Kluyveromyces lactis: one gene and its partner. Each later gene encodes a partner of the first gene's protein in a complex. Links are inferred from orthologs where the notes say so. Each region holds a gene or a part of one and is shown on either strand. Other genes may lie near its edges.

Region 1 (6,595 bases):
GAAGACCAGTACTGGCACTTCTAGCCGATTGAGGAAGCTATTAGATGAGGGAACCCAAAAACAGTACGTAAGCAAGTGGAGAGGCGGTAGTTCGGTCGAAATGGAATAATCATTTGACATTTTGATAATCTAAAAGACGATTAGTTGCATAATGAATGCCGGTCGGGACGGAACGGAATTTTTAAACCCCGGGGGAAAAGGAAAAGGAAGGAAGAAAAAAAAAAAAGAATGCTTTCGGACATTCAACTCTGAGATTACATAATACCATCCACGTGACTACGTCACGTGGATGGTATTATGTAATCAGTGTATTTTCTTTCCTTACCCGGCCGCCACCCGTCACTCAGCCGTTTCAGCTCTTCCCTTGCCTGAAACGGCGGAAATAAACTCCGTCGTCGTGCGACACCCGCAAAATCGGGCAAAGCACAGTGTGGACAATGAAAAAAGGGGTGCAGCAAGAGGTGGGTTTTTTTTCCGCGTTACCCGGAGATCATTCCCAGGTGTTTCTTAACTCAATATGCCAGTAGTTAAAGGAAGAAAAAGAAATAGAATCTGTCATTGCCAAAGGGCAAAGCCAATTTGAACAGGCAATTTAGTAGTGAACAGGGCAGCGAAAGCTGCCCTGTTCACTCGTATGGCTTAAGTTCCTTTATTCGAGCCAAGGCATCAAATTTAGGTATCACATGGCTGGGTACTGTACCGGTTAAATTAATTAAGTCAGTCATCGTGTATTTCTTTTCGATTGGTGCCAGATGAGTCGCCCATTTATTGGTCATTTGTCAATTTTCCGTTGCATCATTAGAGAAAGAGAATATATTGTAATGATGAAAAATTGATGTATAAACGGAGAATATATCTTGATACCCTTCCTGGGTTCAGTATCCAATTTTAGATAATTATATAACAGTAGCTGAATATTCAGATTAGTTTATAGTTATCCGGTATCATTCAGCAAGGCAAGAACCGTTTTTCCTCCGGCTAAGTCGTTGCTTCTTCACCCAGATTTCAGGTCCAGTTTATTGCGCTTTTGTTTCCTTTACATAGAGTGAAAGCCTAAATTGTGAAAAATTTGAAAAATTCAAACTCTTCAATCAGTATAGATACAGAGAAAGAGAGAGAAGAGACCGAGTTTTGACAGCATTTGGTTCATCAACAATCCCAGAATTTGTCTTAATACACCACCGAATCCTTTTAATCAGGTAAGAAGTTGTTAGTTTTGAAACACTCTGCTATTTTTTTTCTTGGTTTGATTGAGTTTTGGTCTGATAGAAAAAGAGAAAGAGAGTGATCATTTTAGCATGTCTGACCCAGGTATTCAGGAGATTGATTATGAGGCTTTGCCAGATACTGCACCACTATCATATCAATTGATTGCAGGAGCGTTTGCAGGTATCATGGAACATTCGATCATGTTTCCTATCGATGCTTTGAAGACTAGAATGCAAGCAGTATCGGAAATTAAGGCTGCGGCGTCGGCGTCGGCATCTGGTGGTGCCGGTGCTGCCAGTGGTGGTGCCGGTGCGGGTACCCTTTTACAACAGATATCGAGAATCTCTTCTACAGAGGGGTCCCTTGCGTTGTGGAGAGGTGTGCAGTCTATGGTGATGGGTGCAGGCCCTGCTCATGCAGTATATTTTGCAACTTATGAATTTTGTAAAGAACAGTTGATCGACGCTAAGGATTTCAATACCCATCAGCCGTTGAAAACTGCCGTCAGTGGTGTTGCTGCCACTGTGGCCGCAGATGCATTAATGAACCCCTTCGATACAATCAAACAGAGGTTGCAATTGCAATCCAAGAGTAGTGACTCTTCCATGTGGAGAATGGCTTTCAACATTTATAAGAACGAAGGTCCAATGGCTTTCTTTTACAGTTATCCAACCACTTTGGCTATGAATATCCCATTCGCAGCTTTGAACTTCGTGATTTACGAATCCAGTACTAAGTTCTTCAACCCAACTAATGCATACAACCCTTGGATCCATTGCTTGTGTGGTGGTATCGCCGGTGCCACTTGTGCAGCTGTTACCACGCCTTTAGATTGCATCAAGACAGTGTTACAGATTAGAGGGAGCGATACCGTCCATGTGGAATCGTTCAAAACCGCAAATACTTTCAAGAAAGCTGCTCAAGCCATATGGCAATCTTACGGTTGGAAAGGTTTCTGGAGAGGTTTACAACCAAGAGTTATTTCTAATATCCCTGCAACTGCTATCTCCTGGACCTCTTACGAATTTGCTAAACATTTATTGTTCACAAAGCAAGAACCCTCATTATAAATATCGTTTGAATGATCTAATGACCCCCCCCCCCCCCTTACAAACACGCACAAAGTATAACGCTTACCCCTCCCCAATTCCACAATGTTGTGCTCTTAGTATTCGTTTTACTTGACATGCTTATATTTAGAGTCACCAATCTTTTACCTTCTTCTTCCCCTGTTATTCCTTTTTATCTGGCAGCATGGTCTTTTATTCCACAATTTCTAACTGCTATATATCCCCTGTAGATATTGTATGTATATTTAAGCGTTTCATATATCCATATAGATTTTGTCATTTCTCCCACAATTAAACGCTATTGCTGCTGTTTTCTCTTTGTTCTAAAATCATGACTGCCCTCTCTTCCTGTCACTAGTAAGTACAATACAAAAGTCCCACCCTTAAAAAACATTTACTTCGACCTCATTTGTTTCCTCAAATCATCAATTCTAGCATCATATCGATGTGATGTTGCGTCCCAGACCACTGGATAATTGCTGTCCTCTGGAATATACCTTGGCAAATTCAAACCTTCAGTGATATCAGTCCATGCCGATTCTAAATCGTTCCCGTTATCAGTTTCGGTGCTGCCATATCCACTAGATCCGACCCAGTAAGATGACATACCCTGATTTGTGTACCTTAATCCCCTAGTCAATCTGTTGGTTCTTGAGTGCGTGTCTCTGTCCGCGAGCATTGATTCCACCGAGTCAAAGCTCCTGTAATCTCTGTAATCACCATTTATTACACTCTTGAAATCCCACCATAGATCTTTAAAACCAAGCCAGTCCTTCAAAGCATAGAGGATCTTCAACCTTCCAGAGTTTGGGTACTTGTCCGGACCGTATTCGTCACTTGAAAACGCATACCAATGTGCAATAGCAAATCCAATCATTTCAACACAAAGTACACTATTACCGATCTCAAATGCCACATATTTGTCGTCACCATGTATATCAATGACATCTATAATCGTTAAAACGTTGATAATGAGACTTTGCCAGTACGATGCGAAAATAATCAACTTGACACACATAAATTTCGGCCATGGTTTGAATACTGAAAGCTCTGTGTACAAACATTTCCAGAACATCGCGAGACAGTAAAGAGACCATGTCACACTGATATTGTAGCATATTACTAACCAGACGGTATTCCATTGGAACGCTTCAAACGTTGCCATACCGATACAGTACACTGGCTTGAACCAAACGTATTGTAAAACACCACGCTTCAACGTCTCGAAATCGTGAGGATCACTAAGATCGATTCTTTGTAGGTAACGCCCAAAGAATGGGATAGCATGCCTGCTCGGTGGATACATTGGCGCGATGTTGATGATGATATTCCGTTCACCACCTAGTCGTAAAGTCAAATACGTAAAGAACTGATAGATGACCAATGCCTCATAAATTTCTCTAATCGGATCAATATAAATGGCGCCTATCTCTGGTCGTAAAATCGAAGCAAAACATGAGATGGAAAATATAGGTACCATCATCTGGATCCTTAATATCAACCTTTGCTGCGAAGGAATTCTATAATTCCACAACTGCCCGCATTGTGAAATAATGGATATACTTGTGGCAACTATTGTACAAATACCACACAAATATATCAGCCAGTTCGGAAGAGAAGCACCTGAGGTAATAGCAGCAAGGTTCCACTCATCAAAGTGTCGTACAAAAGAAAACATACAAATGCAGTAGACGGTCCTGAAATGTGTGGTTTACCTGTCAATTTGTCTTGGTTGCTTTGTTCTTTTAATGATTATTCTGACATATATATATTATGATTATTTTGTAAAGGGTTACCGTTTTGATATTTTTGTTGAAATAAATAAAGTGCGATGAGATGAGATGAGATGAGCAGAGATGAAATTAAAGAAGGAAGAGTAGAGGTAGTAACATGTTTTGAACCCTTTGATCTGAGGTGCAATTACTGTATAAGAGAGTTCACAATCATGCTAGGAATTGTTTTAGTCATATTATCTGTTCGATTTGTTCTAGGATTTGGCGTAGGGTTTCATTTGACGCAAGTTGCTAGGTCAATCCCTAATCACGATTCCTTTACCAAAGCTGGTTCTTTGTTTCTGGAGTCTGTTCTGCAGTTTGATAAATTAGAAGTAGATTGGGATGTGTTCTTGCAGGATGGTGTACAGCTATGGCAAGAAAAGTATGGCACAGGTAATGATGATCATGGGTTAAAGCAGTTTATATTAGGGGTGTCGGTAGGAAATAAGATAAACAGTCTTCAGAATTATACCGACCATGGAGTGGTAAATATTTTGGCAAACTTAGAGTTCGGAGGTAGTATAGAAGATACTTTGAGATATCTACGGGGTTCTGCCGATTTAGTTCACTTATCTTTGTTACTTGGTCAAGACAATATTGAGTGGAATTATTACTTATCTACGCAAATTAAGTTACCCTTGAAGGAAGACGTTCTCGACCTATTATCACAGCAAAATATCGAAGGTGATTGGGTTAGCATCGTTGGCCATATGTTTGATATGCTTGGTGTCTTGCACTCGGAACTCTATTTATTACAGAACAAAAGGTTTCATGCCTTGGACGTAGCGTATTCGTTGAGTCCAGGTGGTCCGAAACTTTTAAGAGAACATTGGCGAGGAGGAGAGTGGAATATCTTAGCAGAGTTGCAAAAGTTCACTTATGGAATTGGATTACAATTTAACGTCCAACAATCCAGTGAGAAATCCTCTTTATCTATTACAACTCAAGACTCCAACAGTGATAATAAATATGTGACTCCATTAAAAAAGTTGTCGCTATTTGGTACCAGCATTGTCAGTGGAGAATTCTTGGAAGATGTTCCCTGCATTGCAGTCGGGGCACCATTAGATGATGTAAGTGGGTCCATTTATGTCATTCCTATGTCCACACTTGAATCTGAGGGTAAGCAAAGTTCAAAAATGACTGCTCTTTATGGGTCAAAAGTTCATAAGTTCAGATTATCGAATTATGACTATCTTGTTGTTTCTGAGCCTGGTAAAAAATTTATTCATATCTACTTATTTGGTGAGAAGATTATAACTATCGTGGATCCTTCGTCTAGCTATCAAGAAGTTAGTTGCATAGTTGATCTTGACAACGACCAGATACCAGATTTAATTTTGACTTGCAAGTATTGTAATAAGAACGAACTAGGAAAGGTGATAATTATTCCAGGATTGAATATCATCCCATACTTGGTTTCAGGTAAAATAAATCAAGTGGAATTTGTAGATAATATCGGGAGTATAGTCTTAAACGGACCAAGATCTTTAAAATTTCAACATTATGGGGCTAACGCTGCAGCATCTGGCAGTTTTTTATTTGTGACTGCTCAAAGCCTAGGACTAGTGTACGGATACAACTTACAACAATTAAATACAGGAATTCCACCATCGTTTTACATTAAAGAGGATGATATCATCTTTCCTAGCGAAGACGTCCCATGGAAATGGGGGGATATTATAGCATCCTCTGAACATGGATTCTTTGGTGCAGAAATGCACGTATGGACTCATGATCAAGTAGATTATATTGCAATATCACAGTTGCTCTTCAATAAGGTCTACATATTCAAAGATGCTGGCAACTCTGCACTAGAGGTCTGGTTAATATTGGAACTTGACACATTAGTTGACCTTAACACTGTCAAGTCCTCTATTGAGTTTGGTAAGGGTGTTCACTTCTCACACTCCCGGAAAAGGCTATTTCTTTCTTCTCCGGGCAGTTTTAATGGCGCTGGTGCTATCTGGAGTGTCTCTATGTCAGAAATGAAGAGAACAGTTGAACTTTGGAGATCCAAACATTTGCTCATAACCGCTTTAAAACACCTTGAATTCGTTAACCCCGAGCAAAAGAAAAAGGGTTGGTCTAATTTCGGCTCCAATTTGGCTGAGTCCCCATTAGATGACTTATTAGTTTCCATTCCACAATTTGGCTACGGTGACTTACATGACCTTTCGCTAATCGGAGCATTATTGATTCATTAGAATACATCACAATTACGTGAAATTTTTCGATATATGTACGCTAATTATCAATATTTACAAGATACATATGCCATTATAACGTCTATCGTCCGAGATATTTCCTGGTTATTCGGTGGAATCGCTGGTTTTTTTCTTCTCAATTCTGCGTTGCAGCTTTTCCTGCCTTTCCCGTTTCCGTTGCTCCTTGAGAGCTTTTTTATCAACTCCATTATTAGTATTTACAAGATTTGGAGTTACTTTCATAATTATTCTTTGATTGATCAAACCTTCTTGTGTAATCTGTGATGAATATTCGCTGATTATTTCGTTTAGCTTCTCCAAAACCTCTTCCCTT
Region 2 (5,382 bases), about 450 kb from region 1:
ATTTTCAATCCCAATGAACAAACCAAAAATTTAATAAGAGAGATTCTCTCCTCAATCATCAACAGAAGTATTACAAAAGGTGGATCTATTGAATACATCGCTACTGCACTTCAAGAACGCTGTGGATCGTTTTGTTCCACCGGTGATGTTCTTGGCTTTAGAGCTGTCGAGCACTTGAGAAAAGCAAAAGAAATAGGACTCAGAGATCAAGAAACACTCAACTATCACCTAACCAATGCAGCAAAGTTATTTGAAAGAATAGTTGATGATGTGTCTTTAGATAAGATAAAAGAGGCTGTAGGTATCATGTTGGAACTTAATTACTACCCAAAAACCGTCGAATTTTTGTTGAATATTGCCAATGCGATGGACAAGGGTAAATTGGCACTTCAATATGTTGCAGATGGATCTTTGGAACACGATGAAAGGAAAAAATACTACAATGCTAGAGTTTCGATCTATGAAATTGTGTTCGAAACTTTAATCAAAGTTGACCAACTAGCTGCTCTGCCTGAAAATGTTAACAATCAAGATATTCAAAAAACCCGCGATGAGGTTTACAACGTTACTTTAAAATATAACGACAAATTATTCCATTATCAAATGTATGATTGGTTGGTACAGCAAAAGTCTGAAGAAAAGCTTCTTCAGCTAGACTCAGATTTTATTCTACCATACTTAGAAGAAAAAGCAGCGAAATCCCTAGAAATTTCCAATCTTCTTTGGGTTTACCAATCCAAAAGATCGCATTTCTTGGAAGCAGCTCAAATTCTGTATTCATTAGCTATTTCGGATTTCGATATTCCTCTACAAAACAGAATTGAGTACTTGTCAAGAGCTAACGTTTTCTGTAATGGAGTCTCTCCGCCAAGCCAAAGGCAAGCCATGATTCAATTATCTGGCATGATAAAAGAAGTTGTCGATGTAGCAAGCATTCAAGATGAAATTGTCCGTGCTCTCAAGGATGACCTCAGGATTGATTCGACTGTCAGAAATGAAGCCTTGCAACAACTTGAAGGCAAAATTTTGACCGTGACTGAACTTTATAATGACTTTGCCGCACCATTGAGTTATTATGAAATTTGTCTGCTCATTTTCAAAGTCAGTGACTTTAGAAATCATGAGGAAATCATATCGAAATGGGAAGAGCTTTTCAGTTCTTTCAAGGAACATTTATCAGAGAACAATGCTACGGATGAACTGGAAAAAAGCACTACTTTCATTAGTCTAGCATCATCAACAGTGATTCGTGTTGGTAAGAATGTACGTACCAGTGAATTTGTGTTCCCAGTTGTTGATTTATTCCCACACATCTGTAGCCTAATATATGAGAACCTTCCAAAAGAACACATCAAAGCAGGTTCAATTGCATCTATTTTCATCCAAGCTGGCGTCTCATACGACCGAATGTACCATGTTCTCAAAGATTTAATTGAAACAACTACCAGCTCCAACGATATTTACGAACAAGAGATGGTTTGGCTGATTAAAGAATGGTATCACTCTGACAGAAAATTGAGAGATTTGATACCACTAGAAGAAATTCGTTCCTTCGACAAGTATTCAATTGAAAATGACCCATTGGAAAATTACAAAAAGCGCACAGGTGATAGTGTGTTTTGAGTTACTCTAACCTTTCAGCGAGATGGTAAAAAAAAGAACAGCTTTAGTTTAAAACGTCTGTTGTGGTGTTTATTTCCCTTTGTATACTATATTGATAAATAACATTTTCACCCCAATCTTAATAAACAAAACAACTAATATCAATATTGCTTTCTTATGATGTTGCGATAAGTCTTTGGTTATGGAAAGAATATATTAAACCGAATTTCGACCTGCAATCTGCTGAAGAGGTATATAAAATTGTATATTTATGAAGAACCTCTTTCGAAGTGAAAAAAAAAAGCCTAGAGATTTCATTATGGAACGGCAACATATGACTTCATCAGCAGGTATTATAAGCAACGCTTTGTCCAGATCTAGGGAACTGTTGCAGCTAGAAATATGAGAATAGGATAAATAGAAGGGAAAACATATCAGAAAGATTTCAAATACTGCTTCGGTATATATCTAGAGCAAAAGGTGTGGAAGAATAGAAAATAATAGCATCGTAGACATTCGACAATGCATTTCATCTTATCATCACTTCAATATTGTTATTCAGGTTCTTTCTTTTAGATCATCTTTTCAACAATATCTGGTTCAAAATTGTGCATTAGTTACTTGTTTTGCATCAAGCAGAACAACCTAATGGAATCATAAAAGAAAACTTAAAGGGAAGAAAGTTTAACTTAATCTCATTCCTCAGAAAACAGGGCATCGTCACCAAAAGTGTTTTCACTCGAATAGGATACATAAAGGAACCCGTCCTTATCCTTGTGTTGTTGGTAAATAGAAGACATTAAAGCTGCTGTTGGAGGTAAAGTATCATTGACAAAGATGAAAATAGCCTTTTCAGCAGGTAGCTTGATTCTCTTTCTAATTACATAAACAAATTGGCCAACAGTCAAATCTCCTGGCACCAAATATTTGCGTTTATCAATGTCTGGAATATCCGATTTGCCACCTCTTTCACAGATCACTGGAATACGGTTATGGAACTTTTGCACTATCCTTTCAGATTCAGCCTTTCTCTTTTCAAATGGGAACTCAGATTTGAATGCAGATTTCATTGCGTTTTAAAACTCTCTCCTATAATACGTAACACCGATAAAAATAATCAAACTCTCTTGAAATATTCTCCTGTCTCTATTTCAAACTAATAACCCGAAAAGATGTTTGTAACTTAACTTTCAAAAGTCTAGCTGATTTGTTCCAACTCTTGAATCGTGTTGTGTCTCTTTTTATCCGTCTTTCTGGTTCTTTCTCTCTCTCAAGAAAAAAACTTGCACGTAATAGCACTGTACTGCACTTTTCTTGCAAAACTCAAACAGATTACTGGGTAGCTAAGAAAAACGCTCTTTGTTTAGTTATCGATGATATGCGCCGCTTTGATCTTCGCGTGTGTTCCCTTTTTATACCCTTTCTGCTGTTTGGAAAATGACAAAACAAAAGTGTTCCCCCCTTAAACGGTTTGAGATGCCGTTGACCCTTAAGTCACGTGGGAAAGACAGAAAATGAATCACGTGATATCCGGGTAACAATACTATGTACGTATATATGTGTGGAAGCTGCTGCTCTATATGCTAAAGCCAGATAAGGTTTCCTCGAGCTCCTGTTGTTCTTGCTCCATCAAGGATTCGTACTCTTCCTGCAGTTCTATCAGCCGTATCAGCTCTTCATCCTCATTTAGCTGTTTTGGCTCCCTCTTTGTGGAAATATTATTCAACATAGCGGGTTCATCGGCACTATTCACGACCTCTCCTTCATCTTCTACCAGTCTATCAATCTCATCTGGCGGTATCTCGTGTTTCTGTGCTTCTTGTTGCATGTCTTGCAAGTGTCGTAGGTATTCTTGTTCCATGACGAATTGTTCCATGTCGTTTCTGTAGCTATTGATCTTCTTCTCTCTTGCCAGTTCCCGTAGTCTGCCCTTCCTTCTTTCTCTCATAAGGTCTCTAATGGGGGACGATGATGATAACGGTTGCTTGTACCTTTGATATTTGAGCTTTCGCTCTTCCAATATTTCATCAGTGATATTAGAATCGGCTCTTCCATCGTTACTTTGGACATTGTCAAGATCGGAATCGCTATCTTCTTCGTGATATCTGCCATGAACCGGACTGCTCGGTATACAGTTCATGTAGAGCTTCAAAGTTGTGGATTAACGTCTGCAATACACCGGACGGCCTGCTCCAGGCTTCTTTCCCCAGCGTACATAGAAATAACCTTAATCCTTTTGGCGTTTAATGATGCTGGTCTAGAGATATGGTTTTTTGTTCGATTAACTTCATAAACTGAAAACGCCTTAGAATTACATATACACATTATATTCGAAATAAGATATGAGATCGACTGTTGCTAGAGAATCAGCAGAGGTGATCTACGGAGCCAATAATTGCAATTAAATTAATTAAATGTGGTGAATTTATAAGTAGTACGGACGGGTTTCGTTTCACTAGAGAAACGTAACTGCTATACATTTTTTCCCACTTTATATACATTTCAACATCTATAATTTGAAAATCTTCAACTTGAAGATGGTATCGTTGATAGATAGTTCTTCATCAGCAAGTGGATTGGTTTCTGATCCTTCAGCCTTCAGGATTTCAGACCTACATGTCTTAGTCAACATGTCATGATGATCTTTGACGATATTCTCAAAGTCAATGGTATCTTTAACTAATTCATACTTGACAATGACATCATCTGTGGCTTCAAGACCACACTTCTTTCTCAGCTTTTGAACTCTGTTGATCAATTCTCTAGCAAGACCTTCAGTTTTTAGCTCATCGTAGATCTTGGTATCTAGAATGATCAAGACATCGTTATCAGTTCTGGTTTCTTGTCCGTCTTGAACAGCAGATTCAGGAAGCCCTCTAATGGCACTTAGATCACCTTTTACCAATTGAATACCTGCTACTTCAATTTCACCGGTAGACAAGTAATCCTTGACTTGGGCAGAAGTTAGAGTTGGTAGAACGTCTTTGACCTTCTTGGCATCCTTCTTCAACTTCTTACCTAATACTGGCCAGTCAGCAACTGCTCTGTATTCCACACCGTATTTTTCCTCCTCGGAAGTGATGATGATGTCGCGGACGTTCAATTCTTCAACAATGTACTTTTTCAATGCTTCGATGTCCTTTAGGTAATCTGGATTGGAATGTAGAATGACCAAGGTCTTTAATGGAGTCTTCAAAGAAATAGTCTTCTTTTCACGAATATTTCTACCAAGGTCGATAACAGATTGCATTCTCTTAACTGCTTTTTCAATATCTTCATCGTAAAGATCTTCGTTGACTTCTGGATAGCTCAAGAAGTGGACGGATCTAGAATCCTTACTGTATTGAGCCAATACTTCCTCTGGAATGAATGGTCTCAACTTGGAGTAAATGTTATCCGATAAGAATGGAGTGAATGGAGCCATAGCACGGACAAATGTGAACAATGCATCAAATAAAGTGTTCAAAGCCTTCAAACAGTCTTCGACACCACCTTCACCCTTCAAACGACGACGATTGAATCTGATATACCAATTTGTCAATTCATCAATAAAATCTAGTAGTCTTGGAACCACTGTATAAAGTTTGTAGGTGCTCATTTCTTGATGAATGTAAGCTACCAAAGACTGTAGAGAGGCAAGAATCCATCTATCCATGACATTATCCGATTTCAGGTGTGGGTTATACTTGAAGTCAACATCAGAATTCTTCTTCAACAAAGCAATTTGGCCATCCAAGAACTTGAAAGAGTTCCACCATGGCAACAAAACCTTGGAAACAA

The links. Proteins that work in one complex are often made in the same cells at the same time.
Region 2: the proteins of HFL1 (region 1) and ATG8 are in contact, whole or in part, in a crystal structure (PDB 6AAF), measured with the Schizosaccharomyces pombe proteins. The link is inferred for Kluyveromyces lactis from reciprocal best matches to the Schizosaccharomyces pombe genes hfl1 and atg8. Residues at the interface, in NP_593211.1 of Schizosaccharomyces pombe: Leu386, Gln387, Phe388, Glu389, Ile390, Asp391, Glu393, Met394, Glu395, Leu397, Tyr398, Gln400, Ala401, Lys402, Met404, Arg405, Tyr406, Gly407; in NP_596531.1 of Schizosaccharomyces pombe: Phe5, Phe9, Lys13, Glu17, Arg20, Ile21, Tyr25, Arg28, Val31, Ile32, Lys46, Lys48, Tyr49, Leu50, Val51, Pro52, Asp54, Leu55, Gly58, Gln59, Tyr62, Val63, Lys66, Arg67, Thr87, Phe104.

What each region holds. Positions count from the first base shown.
Region 1 is NC_006041.1:1,378,914-1,385,508, reverse strand, and holds HFL1 (Hfl1p), read right to left. Parts: upstream 3,958-6,595; coding exon 2,674-3,957; downstream 1-2,673. Other genes in the region: KLLA0_E15445g (uncharacterized protein), read left to right, coding at 1,299-2,279; KLLA0_E15401g (uncharacterized protein), read left to right, coding at 4,126-6,261; AIM23 (Aim23p), read right to left, coding at 6,367-6,595. UniProt on the Schizosaccharomyces pombe protein: Vacuole membrane protein that recruits ATG8 to facilitate the degradation of vacuolar integral membrane proteins during early-stationary vacuole turnover (EVT) when cells enter stationary phase.
Region 2 is NC_006041.1:1,826,987-1,832,368, reverse strand, and holds ATG8 (ubiquitin-like protein ATG8), read right to left. Parts: upstream 2,673-5,382; coding exon 2,298-2,672; downstream 1-2,297. Other genes in the region: NUP170 (Nup170p), read left to right, coding at 1-1,623; RTT105 (Rtt105p), read right to left, coding at 3,179-3,742; isoleucine--tRNA ligase ILS1, read right to left, coding at 4,112-5,382. UniProt on the Schizosaccharomyces pombe protein: Ubiquitin-like modifier involved in autophagosome formation. With atg4, mediates the delivery of the autophagosomes to the vacuole via the microtubule cytoskeleton.